Linked DNA regions of Sus scrofa. The protein of the gene in region 1 interacts with the protein of each later gene in a pairwise test. Links are inferred from orthologs where the notes say so. Each region holds a gene or a part of one and is shown in the gene's direction. Other genes may lie near its edges.

Region 1 (3,645 bases):
TCTCTGTGGTTTTATATAACATTCACGAATAAGCCCTGTGCTGCCTGGGCTTGTTAATCTTTTGCATTTTTAAAAAGGAGAGGAAAAAAAAAATAGTCTGGGAGAGCCCAATGTTAATTAACTTGTGTCTTGGTGACATGAAATAATTCTTCTCCCTGCTACATTCCTAGACAACATGTTAATTAACTCTGTGTTAGTGCAGGCGTTTCCAGCCATCCTTTCATATTTATATTATTGTTATTAAAATGGGCAGGAGGAAGCTTAAGACATGACACCTCTTGACAGAGGAGAAAAATCGTTTCTTGCTGCAGAGATGGCCCTTTAGCCATGGACTTGTTTGCTTGCATTCTGAACATTTTTGGTATGTCTGGGCAAAAGACAAGTTGAAGGGGTCCTGTGATGGGGTTCATCCTTCTCCCCTGCCCTCCAAGGAGAACTTCTTCCCCTGAGGATTTCCAGTGGCTGACTTGCCTGTTACAGTCTTTTTCAGGCTTTTAGCCTCAAATATTCATGAGACTCCCGTGCAGAACTGGAATAAACCCCGGGCTATTAGGTGGTTTTGTTGGGAACCTAACAGTAGTTGCTAATATTAAAGCTCAGCCCAGATCCCCACAGATTCCTTTTTACCAATCTGTGTGTGTCGTGCACCCGCCCCCGCCACCCCCGGCCATGGTTTACCTTCAGCTGCCAGCACCTGCACCTGTTAAAAGCCAGAGGTGTACCCACTACCCCTGCAGATGCCCAGCTGACCTTGCCCCATGACTGACACTGCCAGAGACCAAAGTCCTGCAATCTTGCCTGGAGCCAGGGCCGCCTGGAGACACAGCTTCCACCCTAGAGTTCCCACGCGGTCAGGTCGAAGCTCCCCTCTGAGGCCCTTGGCCCCAGATCGCAACTTTGCTTGCCTTCCACCCCTTCTGCCTGGCTTCCTGCCTCCTACCCATTTCCCCTGATTACACATCCTCAGTCATATGAGGCTTCAGGTCCGCTCCTGGGCCATCCAGCCCAAGGCACCGATTTTGGTGCCAGAGGTCAACACTCAATTTAGATGTCAAGTCCTGGCTTATTTTCATGAGTGGCAAAGTCTCAGCAAACCAGAGCTGGAAGGGGCTGCAGAGACCTTCTCTTCCTGGTCTCTTGCTCTACAGCTTAAGACACAGGAGCCAGGGCAGAGGATGTCATTGGCACCTGGCTAATTAGAGGTGATGCTGGGACTTGAACTTGTCTCCCAGACATCAGTCCTTCGTCCGTCCCTTCATTAGCTGCCTGACGTGGGTTGTAATTTACCCCCGACTTCCCTTTAATAAACGCTCTCCTCCCATAAGGGTCACACACCCAGGCGCCTGGCGTCATTCCACGCACACGGTTTTGTGAGTCATCGATTCTCGCTCGGCCCCAACTCAACTTACTGAACGATCAGGAAACCAGAACTGCCTTTCTACTTCCTGACCGCCAAGGTGGCAGCTCCCCACGGCTCCTCCATTTGCTGCCTCGGGATAAAATGTTCTCCCCCAGTAATGAGTTTGCTCCCAGGTGGTGCCTCGAAAACACTCAAAGGGATCTTCAAAGGGAAAGCGGGATTCGGAGAGAAGCTAGCTGGCCTGGCTGTAACAGGGAGCGCTCTGCTCACAGACCACATCTTGATCCCATTAGTGTAGCCCACACATTTCAAAATTTGTCAGCTGCCCTTATCTCCCCTACGGCCACTCAGAATGTGCCGGTTGATTCTCTATTTGAAGTTAATAAGAACAAGCATTTACCTAACACTGCCCCCAAAGGGTGGGAAGGACCCCCTGAAATGCCATGTGATCAGGCACGTGCAGAAATGACTTCCGGCAGCAAGACTGGCCCCTTTGGGAATACCCCCAAGGTGTGTTAAAACACAGCCAGAGTTGGCTTCGCCCTTGACCTTGGCTGTTGGTGGTTTGACAGGCTGCATTGTATCCTTCTAACAGCTGGGTGAGGCAGGCGCTATGAGCGCTGCCGTTTCATAAGCTCAGAGGAATCGGAGGTCTCACCAGGGTCACTCAGGTACTCAGGGCGAGTCCTGGACTGAGTCTGAGTCTGCTGATTCCCATGCCTGTGGGCTGATTTGCAAACTTCAGCCTGCATTCGAATCACCTGGAAGTGCTCAGGATCGCCCGCAGAGTACCTCCATCAGGAGGGCCCGAGTGTGCATTTCTCACAAGCTCCCAGCGAGTGCAAATGCGGCTGGTCCCCGGACCACACTGAGACCCACTGCACTGGGCTCCGCCATATTGCATTTCCCACCTTGACACTGAATATTCCTTGAAGTAATTGACCAACTGAGGCTTCGGAGGGTCTTAGTTTCAATGTCAGAAGCCTCTCCAGAGACTCGTGCTGTCGGGGCAGCAAGGATCTTCAATTAAGATCTTGCATTGGGCATGGAGAGACGTCGCTTGTCCTCCAGATCTGAGGCATGCTTAGCTATACCACGTGTTTTCTCTCAAACTGCCTCTGTCTCCCAGGAGCTGGGGTCCCAGCGAACAATCATGTGGCCTTTGTGCCTTTGGAGTCATTCAAAACCAGTCCTCCCCTTGGGTGGAATTAGCGGCTGTTGATATGATAGATCTTGGGAGCTTCAGAAAGATGCCCAATTCATCGCATTCCTGGTCAGTTTCCTCTCAAAGGGGCCCCCAGGGGTTTCCTCCTGCTCTTCTTCTGAACTGAGAGTTTTGGAGTTCCATTGCGGCTCAGCAGGAACGAACCCAGCTAGTATCCATGAGGATGTGGGTTCAATCCCTGGCCCTGCTCCGTGGGGTAAGGATCCAGCATTGCTGTGGTGCAGATGGCGTAGACACAGCTCGGATCCCACATTGCTGCGGCTGTGGTGTAGGCTGGCAGCTGCAGCTCCAATTCAACCCCTAGCCTGGGAACTTCCATGGGTGTGGCCCTAAAAAAGCAAAAAGCCCCCCAAAACAAAAAAAACCTGAGAGTTCCCCTGGGAGGAGGCACGCCAGCCATGCCTACCCTCTTACAAAGCTTCAGCTGAGAGTCTTTTCCACAGAGGCGGCCTGGGGCAGCCTAAAGGCGAGGAGAGTGGTTGTTGCAGGCAGGGAGAGAGCTCATGAGAGGGATGAGGTGTTATGGCCAACACAAATGCCGCAGATACCATTTCACCCCAGAGGACCCTCTTCCTTCCAGGAAAGTACATAGGAGTCGGTTATCTGTCTGGACCCAGCTCTTCCTTGCTTCCCGACGTCTTGGAAATCCAGCCAGCATCACGGAACCCATCCCCAAGCCCTCTCATCTCTGCCAGTCTCTTTTGAGCTTTTTCTCTCTTTTCCTCCCCCAGGCTTTTTGGCCAAGACGGTCTGTGCGCATCCTGTGACAAGCGGATCCGTGCCTACGAGATGACCATGCGGGTGAAAGACAAAGTGTATCACCTGGAATGTTTCAAGTGTGCCGCCTGTCAGAAGCACTTCTGTGTGGGCGACAGATACCTCCTCATCAACTCGGACATAGTGTGCGAGCAGGACATCTACGAGTGGACTAAGATCAATGGCATGATATAGGCAGAGGCCCCGGGAGCTCCGGGGAGGCGTTTCACCGAAGTGACTGTCTCGGGGCGGGAGGTGGGGGGGTGGCGGGTCTTCACTCGTAGGCATTTGGGGGATCTGAGGG
Region 2 (4,102 bases), on another chromosome or scaffold:
AATTGAGGCAGAGAGAAGTTACATAATTTTCATACAGTCACACAAGTGAGTAGATTGGGGATTTCAACCTGGGTAATACAAATCCAGAGTCCTTTGCTCTTATCCCCTAAGCTTTAATGCATTTGTGAATTTATTGTGCCAGACCCTAGCTGGGTCCTTCAGAGAATGTGATATGTAGAAGTTTATTGCTTATCCATTCATTTATCAACCTACATTTGAAGAACACCTGTTCACTGGGGTTGGAGAGGAAACAAACAAGATAAATAAGAAAAATATTACTAAATGCAGTGAGTGCCAAGGAGAAGAACAAAGCAGGGCAGAAAGATGAAGAGTCCTGGGTGTGAAGGTGCAATTTTAGGTATCAGAGATTCAGAGAATCCTGTTTGAGAAGGTGACATGTGAGCAAAGACCTAAAAAATGCCAATTCCATAAGGCAGAAAAATTTCTTTTATTGTAAAGTTGTATCCCTAGTGCCTACAAGAGGCACTGGCCCAGAGTGGGTACTCAATTGGCCCAGAGTGGGCACTCAATAATAATTGCTGAATGAATGAAAGGAGGTGAGGGAGAGAACTGTGAGGCTAACTTGGGGGAAGAGTGTTTCAGGCAGTGGAAACAGTGCAAAGGCCCTGAGGCAGGAGGGTGCCTGGTGTGTTTCTGAAATAGCAGGGGTCAGAGTGACTAGAGCTGAGTGTCCCCCAGGGAGAGAAGGAACAAAAAAGTCAGGTAGATGGTATCTGGGAGGCACTGCAATTACTTCAGCTTAAGTCTGAATGAAATGGGGAGACAGGGAAAGGTTTTGAGTGAGAAGTGGCAGGAACCTGATTTGCTTGGGTTTTCCTAGGCTCATTCTGGGTGATGTTGGAGAATAGGCAGAAAGAGGAAAGTGCAGAAGCAGGAAGGCCAATGAAGCCACCCTGAAATACCAAGTCCCCCCCTCCCCCGCCCCGCCCCGCGCCCACCCGGGTGCTCTGGAAACTGAGATGATAAATCCGGGAATCTGTCCAGTGCAGTGATGATTTAACTTCTCTGTACATCTTAATCTCCTCGGGATACTTATCAAAAAGACAGATTTTGGATGCCATTCTCTGAAAACCTGATCTGGTGGGTCAGGGTCGCGGGTGTTGAAATCCACCTCCCCTCACCCATGATTCTGAAGCAAGTGGTTCTGGAGCTGCAGTTGGAGACTCACTGAGGCTGAAACGACTGACATCTGATGAGCTGGCCACAGGGCACAGACTTTCTGAGGTTTATAGACATTGGAGAAGAGAGCTGGTAAACCGCTGGCCATCCTCGGCCAGCCTCTGCCAGCCTCGCTGTGGTCCGAGTGGGTGGCAGAACCCCCTCCCCTTTCAACGCCTTAAACAAAGCAGGGTCTCCTTCCGCCTCTGCTTGGTTTCTAGGGCGCAGGGAGGCTGGTCCAGAGAAGCTAGGGCGCAGGGGTGGGGAGGGACCTGCAGAGTCCTGGGCGTGAACGGCCTGGAGACAAAGGGCGGGGTCCTATAAAGGCTCAACAGAGGCGAGGCGCCCAGACGAGGGCTTACCCGGCCAGCAACGGTGACGGTGACAAATACTGCACGGGCTCCCGGCTCCGACGGAGGTGCGTGGACTCCGAGAGGGACGTGGGCGCCACCGGGGTTTATGCGCCAACGAGTCTCCGGCACAGGTCCCAGCCGCACTCGCCCCAGAGGGCAGGGGTGTGGAGGTGACTTGGTGGCAGCCACCAAAGAGACTCGGTGAGAAGACCTGGGGTCTTTCCGCGGGGCAGGGGCAGTGGCAGTGGCGCGTGTTGTCGGGGCTGCTGAGCCTTGATGTGCGACCCCCTAGGGCATCTCCGAGGGACGTTTAGGCAGCTTCTGCGTCTCGGTGAGAACTCCCAGAACCCCTCAGGTGTCTTTAGCCGAGATGCTTACCTGGACGCCCGAACTTGTAAGTCATTAGGCGGGCACTGCCGGCCAGGGGGAGCAAAACTTAGAAAAAGGGATAAACCGGGAAGTGAAGCGGTCAAGGGCAGTTGAGCTGGGTGGGCGGTGAGGTGCTGAGGTTTGAGGGCATTTTGGATCAGGTGGCATTCCCAGTGCGCCATGTGCCCATTCAAAGACCCACAGTCATAGTAAATGTACTTATTAAAATATCAACATGTAGAATTGTCTAGTGAGAAGAGTAATTGCATAATAGTATGTATCGTGATTTTTAAAGATTTTATTTTCTTTCTTTTTAGGGCCACAAGTGCAGCATATGGAAGTTCCGCGTTTGGGACCTATACATCACAGCTCTCTGCTTAATTCACTGAGTGGGACCAGGGATGAACCTGTGTCCTCATGGATACTAGTCGGGTTCATTTTTGCAGAGGCACAATGGGAACTCCCAGGATACATATTTTTACATAAAGGATACACACACTCCCCCAATGAAAAGGCTACTGCTTAGGAATGACATTGAACAGGTAGAGGGATGGAGCTGGGGGCTTTTATTTTTTGCTTTATCATTTGTGTACTGCTTGATTTTTTTTTTTTTCCTTAGTGAGCCTGTGTTACTTCTATAATAATTTCTAAAGGCAAAGCTGTGCCTAGTATTGGAGGTTAGGCACTTTCCTCTAACCCAATTGTATAAACCACCTTTCACCGCCCTCTTTCTGGATGGTATTTTCACTTACTTAAAAAAAAAAAAAAAAAAAAAAAAAAAAAGACAGAAGAGACAAATACATAGGACCAAATGTCAGTAGGAGAAATTTAAAATCTTATGACAAAAGAGCAGTGTAAATCTGAGTTCCTGGGTCAGGCTGCCATAGGAATGTTAGCTGTACTTCTGTGCTGTAACCTTTCTAGTTAACCTGGGCTCTGTGTCCAGAAAACACCCACAGAAAAAAGGAGCAGCTCCTATCTGGGGCGTTGGTTACCTTCCCTGGGGGCACAGCTGTTGTCCTCTTCTGCAGTAACCTGCTACCTTCCATGGGGACAGTATAGAGTCTGTGCACAGCTATATTCCTCTTCAGTTTACCATGACAGTCCTTCTGCCCAGACATTCTTAACCTGGGGACCATGACACCCACCCAGTGGGGGTGTGTGGAGAGAATTCAGGGGTTCTATATATCCGGATGGGAAAAAATTATCTTTGTGTCTATTAACCTTTAATCTAAATTTAGCATTTCCTATATTTATGAATGTGACTAATAAACTATAGTGGCAACTAGCAAAGCTGATGACTTTGTCATCAAAAGAAATCATAGAAACTTTCAACTCAGATTACAGATGTTACAGGTCTGAAAAATCACTTACATATCACTACTTAAAAATCATGGTAACAATTCTAATTATTTAATGTGTTAAAAGTGAAGCACAGGTATTACTGTATTGCATTTAGAATTATTTTAATACCTATTAAGTGTAATTGTTTTTTATGTTTCTATTTTAATTCATGCATTTAAAATTTATACTCTGAGAAGGGAACCAAAGACTTTTTCCTTTATGAATCTGAAATCATTGTTCTGAGACAATATCCTCCCCAGGCTTCCCTAGACTGCAAAAAGGTCCATGGCACAAAAAAGGTTATGGACCCCGACTCAGCAGGAGTCAGTGGTGACATAGATGCATAAATACTCAGGCTTGGGACCCAAGTTCTGACACGCAGGGATGTGTGACCTGGGACAAAAAGCTTCACCCTGTTTCAACAGCTGTCAGAAGTTCTCAGATTCTGTGGCATCTGGAGTGTTTTTTAAGCCCTTAAATTACTCTGAATCAAGATTAGCAGCAATCAGTCCCTGCAAATGGAAAAACACTAAATGCCATTTTCCTTTATTTACTAAGTACTTTAGTAATTTTCCAGTGACTTCTACTTTGAGTTTTTCTAGCTTGTTAAATCACTGATTTCTATTTCCCCCTATGGAGAAGGAGAATGACACACTTGAGCATAAATCAACAAGTAATTATTAAGCACATCCTAGGATGGCCATGCTACATTTCAGAAGCCTGCCATCTCTTCTCCCCACTTCCTCTGTCTGCTTCTGGCACAATAGCATGGAGCCCTCTTGGAAGAGAACACCAGTTAGTTTATCCAGCCTAATCTTTTTCTTCCTAGCTTGAAAAAGACCCCCCATGGGACTGGT
Region 3 (4,185 bases), on another chromosome or scaffold:
AGATCTGCCAGAAACTCAAGATACTTATCAGACCCCTACCTTACAATAACTCGTGACAGCCTATCTACTTATCAGACCCTTACTCGGAAGTAACTCGTGATTCCTTAAGGACAAACATTTCCTTTCTCGTAGTAGCAGAGAACAGCCTCATGACTTTTGCCTTTTGTAAGCCCCTGACTCTTTCTTTTCCCTGGAACACTCTTGATTTTACCAGAATCTGTCTCCCAACAATTCTTAAGATAGCCCTCCAATAAAGCTCTTTGTTCTTTGCAGCCCTGATACTGATTATTGTTTAATAGAGCTCACAAGAAATGGAAAAATTCAGGAGTTCCCATGGTGGCACAGCAGGTTAAGGATCCATTGCTGTCTCCGCACGGCCCAGGTCACTCCTGAGGCTCGGTTCCATCCCTGGCCGGCATGGTGGGTTAAGGATCCAGCATTGCTGAAGCTGTGGGGTAGGTTGCAAATTTCAGGGCGATAAGCCCATCTGGGGGTCCAAGCTGGGGTTCCCCAATACCAAGGCCTGGTCAGTAATATTGACCTGGGGGTCTTACAGGGTGAGCTAATGAAGGCTCAACTGACTTTTCTCATTAGGCTGGGAGTTTGAGGGCCATCTTCCTCTGCTGGCCTGGGAGAATGGGTGGCACCCAGGAACACGTGCTAGAGGAAAGTTCTTTAGTAAAATCTGGTGGAAGAAAGGCACTTGGCTCTACTGTTTAACACTCAGGTGATTTTCCTCAAGGCGCCGCCCTGCACCTGAATATTTTTACTTGTTGAATAGAGATACTGCCCTTGATCACCTCAAAGGGTGCTGGAGGGATTATTTGTAGTTTTGAAAATTATGAATACTCAGGTATTGGGTGTGTTGGTTCAGCCTCTCTGTAAACTTCAGGCAGAGATTACATATATCGCACTTTTCATTATAAACCATTTATTAGCACCTGACCCTCTGTGTGCCTGTTTTCTCATCTACCCAGTGGAGACAATACACCTTATCTTGCTTCCCACACAAAGGTGTTATGCCCTTCACATGAGTTAGCAACTGTGACGATCCTCTGTACATTGCAAAGAGCTGCACAAATGGAAGGAATTGGGGTAATCTCTACTGCTAGTAGTAGTGCTTGGCCCTTAACTTATGTATTTGGAACAGATGTAGGCAGTTTCTAAGGACTAAAAGTTTTCACTGTACCACAGGAGCACCCTTAGCAGAATTTAAGATCTGGAGATTTCTTCCAGAAGTCAAACAAAAAAGGTTTAGAAAGATTTGGTTTAAACTGGAGGTTAGCATATCCAAGAACAATGCGGCGGGCCCTTTAAGTAGGGGGATGGAAGGGCGGAGCCGTCGTCAGGGACGCGAGTAGGCCGCTGGGTTTCCAGGAAGTGACGCCAAGCGGCCGTGGAGATGGAGGACGTGCTGGACCTTGGCGAGGAGCGGCGTCGCGGCTCGGCCTTCTCCGTGAGGACCGACTCGGGGGCTTGGGGCCAGCAATTGGCGGGTGGGCAGGAATGACCCCGCCGGCCCCGGCTTCCCTGAGGTGCCTCGGCCCAGCCTGTCCCGGGAGGCGGGAGCTGGCGGGCCCTGAGTCTTGCGGCGGTGGGGTGGGTGAGGCCGGGGAGGAGGTGGCCTCCCTCGTCCCGCCCCTGGGGCAGCAGCTCCTCCGCTGCTGGGCTAGGATTTGCTTTCTTTAAAATCTTCAAAAAGTGGAAAACAGATTCCGCCTCTGCCGGCCTCTGGGACCGGTGGGACATTTCCCAGGTTCTCTCCGCTCCCTGGAGGTCCAGACGCCAACTCCCATAGAATGGGGAGATCTGAGGGTGACGGACTGGAGGGGCCCTGGTCAGGGTCGCACTTGCATTCCTCCTCGAGCTTTACCCTTTAGACTTGTCATGCCAGAGGTTTTTGTGAAAACCGTACGATTTTATTCAGGGAAGGAAAGAAGGCAGGTAGACAGAAGGCAGGTAGACAGGGAGGGCCTTTCTTGCCACTAATTCCCTTGGGGCGGTAGGGGGGCATTACCTCAGTTTTTATAGTTAAGGAAATCAAGAAGCAGATTTATAACGTGGGGGAAAGTCTAGGTGCTGGGGGTGGGGGTGGAGCCCAGAGGTCAGAGGGAGTATAAAGCTGTTGCTTGGGTTAAAAGAAGTTAACCTCCTGGAACCTCAATTTCCTTATCTCTAGAATGGAGATGCTGATACCGACTTTAAGGAGTTGCGGGAAAGATGAAATGAGATGTGTGTGGAAAGCATTTAATACAGTGGCTGGCATGTGCTGAGATATTAGAAGAGGTTAGCTGCTATTGATTTACTCAAGGTTATATGTACATAACAGCTATATTCAAGACCCAAGTTCAGTGTGTGTGTATGTGTATGTGTGTTTTAACTCGTCACAGCCCCATCAAGCCTTTTTACCTTTAAAATTATTGAAGATCGCAGTCACTAACAGATTGGCCCACGGGGAGTTCCCGTCGTGGCTCAGTGGTTAATGAATCCGACTAGGAACCATGAAGTTTCGGGTTGGGGATCCGGGGTTGCAGTGGCTCTGGCGTAGGCCGGCAGCTACAGCTCCGATTCGACCCCAAGCCTGGGAACCTCCATATGCCGCGGGAGTGGCCCAAGTAACGGGAAAAAAAAAAAAAAAAAAAAGATTGGCTCACGGGCAGGTCTTTAGTTTTGCTGTGGAGTCTCTATGAGTTCTGAAGGGCCCCATCTGATGTCCTCTAAGTTACTAGAGGAGAGAGATGAGGAACAGGAGCAAATTGCTCTAGGGCGAAGCGGATTGCTTGACTGATCAAGGAGAATATTAGGTCATCAGACCTTTCGGATCCGTGCACTTTTTTAGTACCTGGGGGTTATAAATGTTCTCATTCATTCATTCTTTCAACAGATAGTTATTGAGCCCCATCTGTGTATCCAGCATTGATTGTCTTTAGGTGCTGAAGATACAAGAGTGACAAAACTTAAGTCCCTGCCCTTATGGGGCTCATGTTCCAGTGAGAGGACAGGCAGTAAACAGACTCTACTTTGAAATATATAAAACCAGAGAGTAGTTTTTCTCAGTCATTCCAGTGGATTTATACAGGGTCTTTGGAATTTTTAAAAACCTTAGACTGTGTGACAGTTATTGGAGAAACCATCTATAAACAGCATTGAGAGGCAAGATCCTTGACTTTTTGTTGGAGCACAGTCACTGCATGTTGTATGCCAGGATCACATACCCAATGTTATGGTAAATGGAAAAGGGCAGCCATAGACAACCCCACAGACAAAGTGGGATTGTCTACCTTGGGAAGAAAATGAGCTGCTTATTGTCAGAAAGGCTGTTTCTATCATCCCTGAAACCAAAATGATTACTTAGAATTTGACATGTAAACATTACATAAGGGTGTTTATGCAGCTCTCAATGTATTGGTGCAGTCAGTTCTTAGAACATCTTAAAACTGAAATTCCAGCAGGGTGTAGAGGAAAGAACTCAGGGTTAGAAGGCAGATGATTCTGCTCTTGGATTTATCTGTTACTTAGTTGCTTTCCTGGATCTCAGTTTCCTCATTTGTAAAAGGCCTCAGTCTCAGTCTCTCTTATTGTGAAGTCCAATGAGATCCAAAAGTGCTTACATTAATGCTGTTTTTTTTTTAAAGCAAAAAATGAGAAATATAAACATTTCAACACCCACTAGTCTGCCTCAATACAGTTTTGTGTATACGCTTGGAGGCCTTTGAGACAAAGCCTGCACCCCAGGAGAGCTTTGGGAAACACCTGCAAAGGGTTCATTTCATGACTCAGAATTTGGCATGTTCTGATTTCCAAAGCTGATGTCTCAAAATTCTTGTCAGTACTTTTTCTTTAATGTCTGTAAGTGCAAATCCAATTAGTGCACACGTCAAAGCAACTGCTATCTGTATTTCTCCGGTTTCAGTTCCCAGAGAATTGCTGCCCCCTCCCCAAAGCCTTTTTGATAACAATTTTCATGCCGAGCTGCAGCTTTGAGGGTAAGCCTTCCTCAACTCCCGCATAGGAAGATGGGGGCCTTGACCGTACTCTTCCCGAGCTGTGGCATGAGGTCGGTGCCCCTTCTAGGGGAGTTTCTAGCTGCTTTTCATGGGCAGGAAAGGTCTGTGGCTGTCAACAGAAAACACGGTGGTCCCCCATGGATTTCCTGTTTTACCATCTAGAACGGACCTCGGGTGC

Evidence for each region.
Region 2: the proteins of LMO2 (region 1) and TAL2 interact in a two-hybrid assay, tested with the Homo sapiens proteins (2 studies listed by BioGRID and IntAct). The link is inferred for Sus scrofa from reciprocal best matches to the Homo sapiens genes LMO2 and TAL2.
Region 3: the proteins of LMO2 (region 1) and IFT43 interact in binary tests that used the Homo sapiens proteins (3 or more experiments, as listed by UniProt). The two-hybrid records come from large-scale screens. The link is inferred for Sus scrofa from reciprocal best matches to the Homo sapiens genes LMO2 and IFT43.

Annotation. Positions count from the first base shown.
Region 1 is NC_010444.4:27,051,113-27,054,757, forward strand, and holds part of LMO2 (rhombotin-2), read left to right. Parts: intron 1-3,316; coding exon 3,317-3,536; 3' UTR 3,537-3,645. UniProt on the Homo sapiens protein: Acts with TAL1/SCL to regulate red blood cell development. Also acts with LDB1 to maintain erythroid precursors in an immature state.
Region 2 is NC_010443.5:246,931,703-246,935,804, forward strand, and holds the start of TAL2 (T-cell acute lymphocytic leukemia protein 2), read left to right. Parts: upstream 1-1,272; 5' UTR 1,273-1,638; coding exon 1,639-1,733; intron 1,734-4,102.
Region 3 is NC_010449.5:99,157,515-99,161,699, forward strand, and holds the start of IFT43 (intraflagellar transport protein 43 homolog), read left to right. Parts: upstream 1-1,327; 5' UTR 1,328-1,402; coding exon 1,403-1,456; exon of another isoform or gene 1,457-1,535; intron 1,536-2,179; exon of another isoform or gene 2,180-2,286; intron 2,287-4,185. UniProt on the Homo sapiens protein: As a component of IFT complex A (IFT-A), a complex required for retrograde ciliary transport and entry into cilia of G protein-coupled receptors (GPCRs), it is involved in ciliogenesis.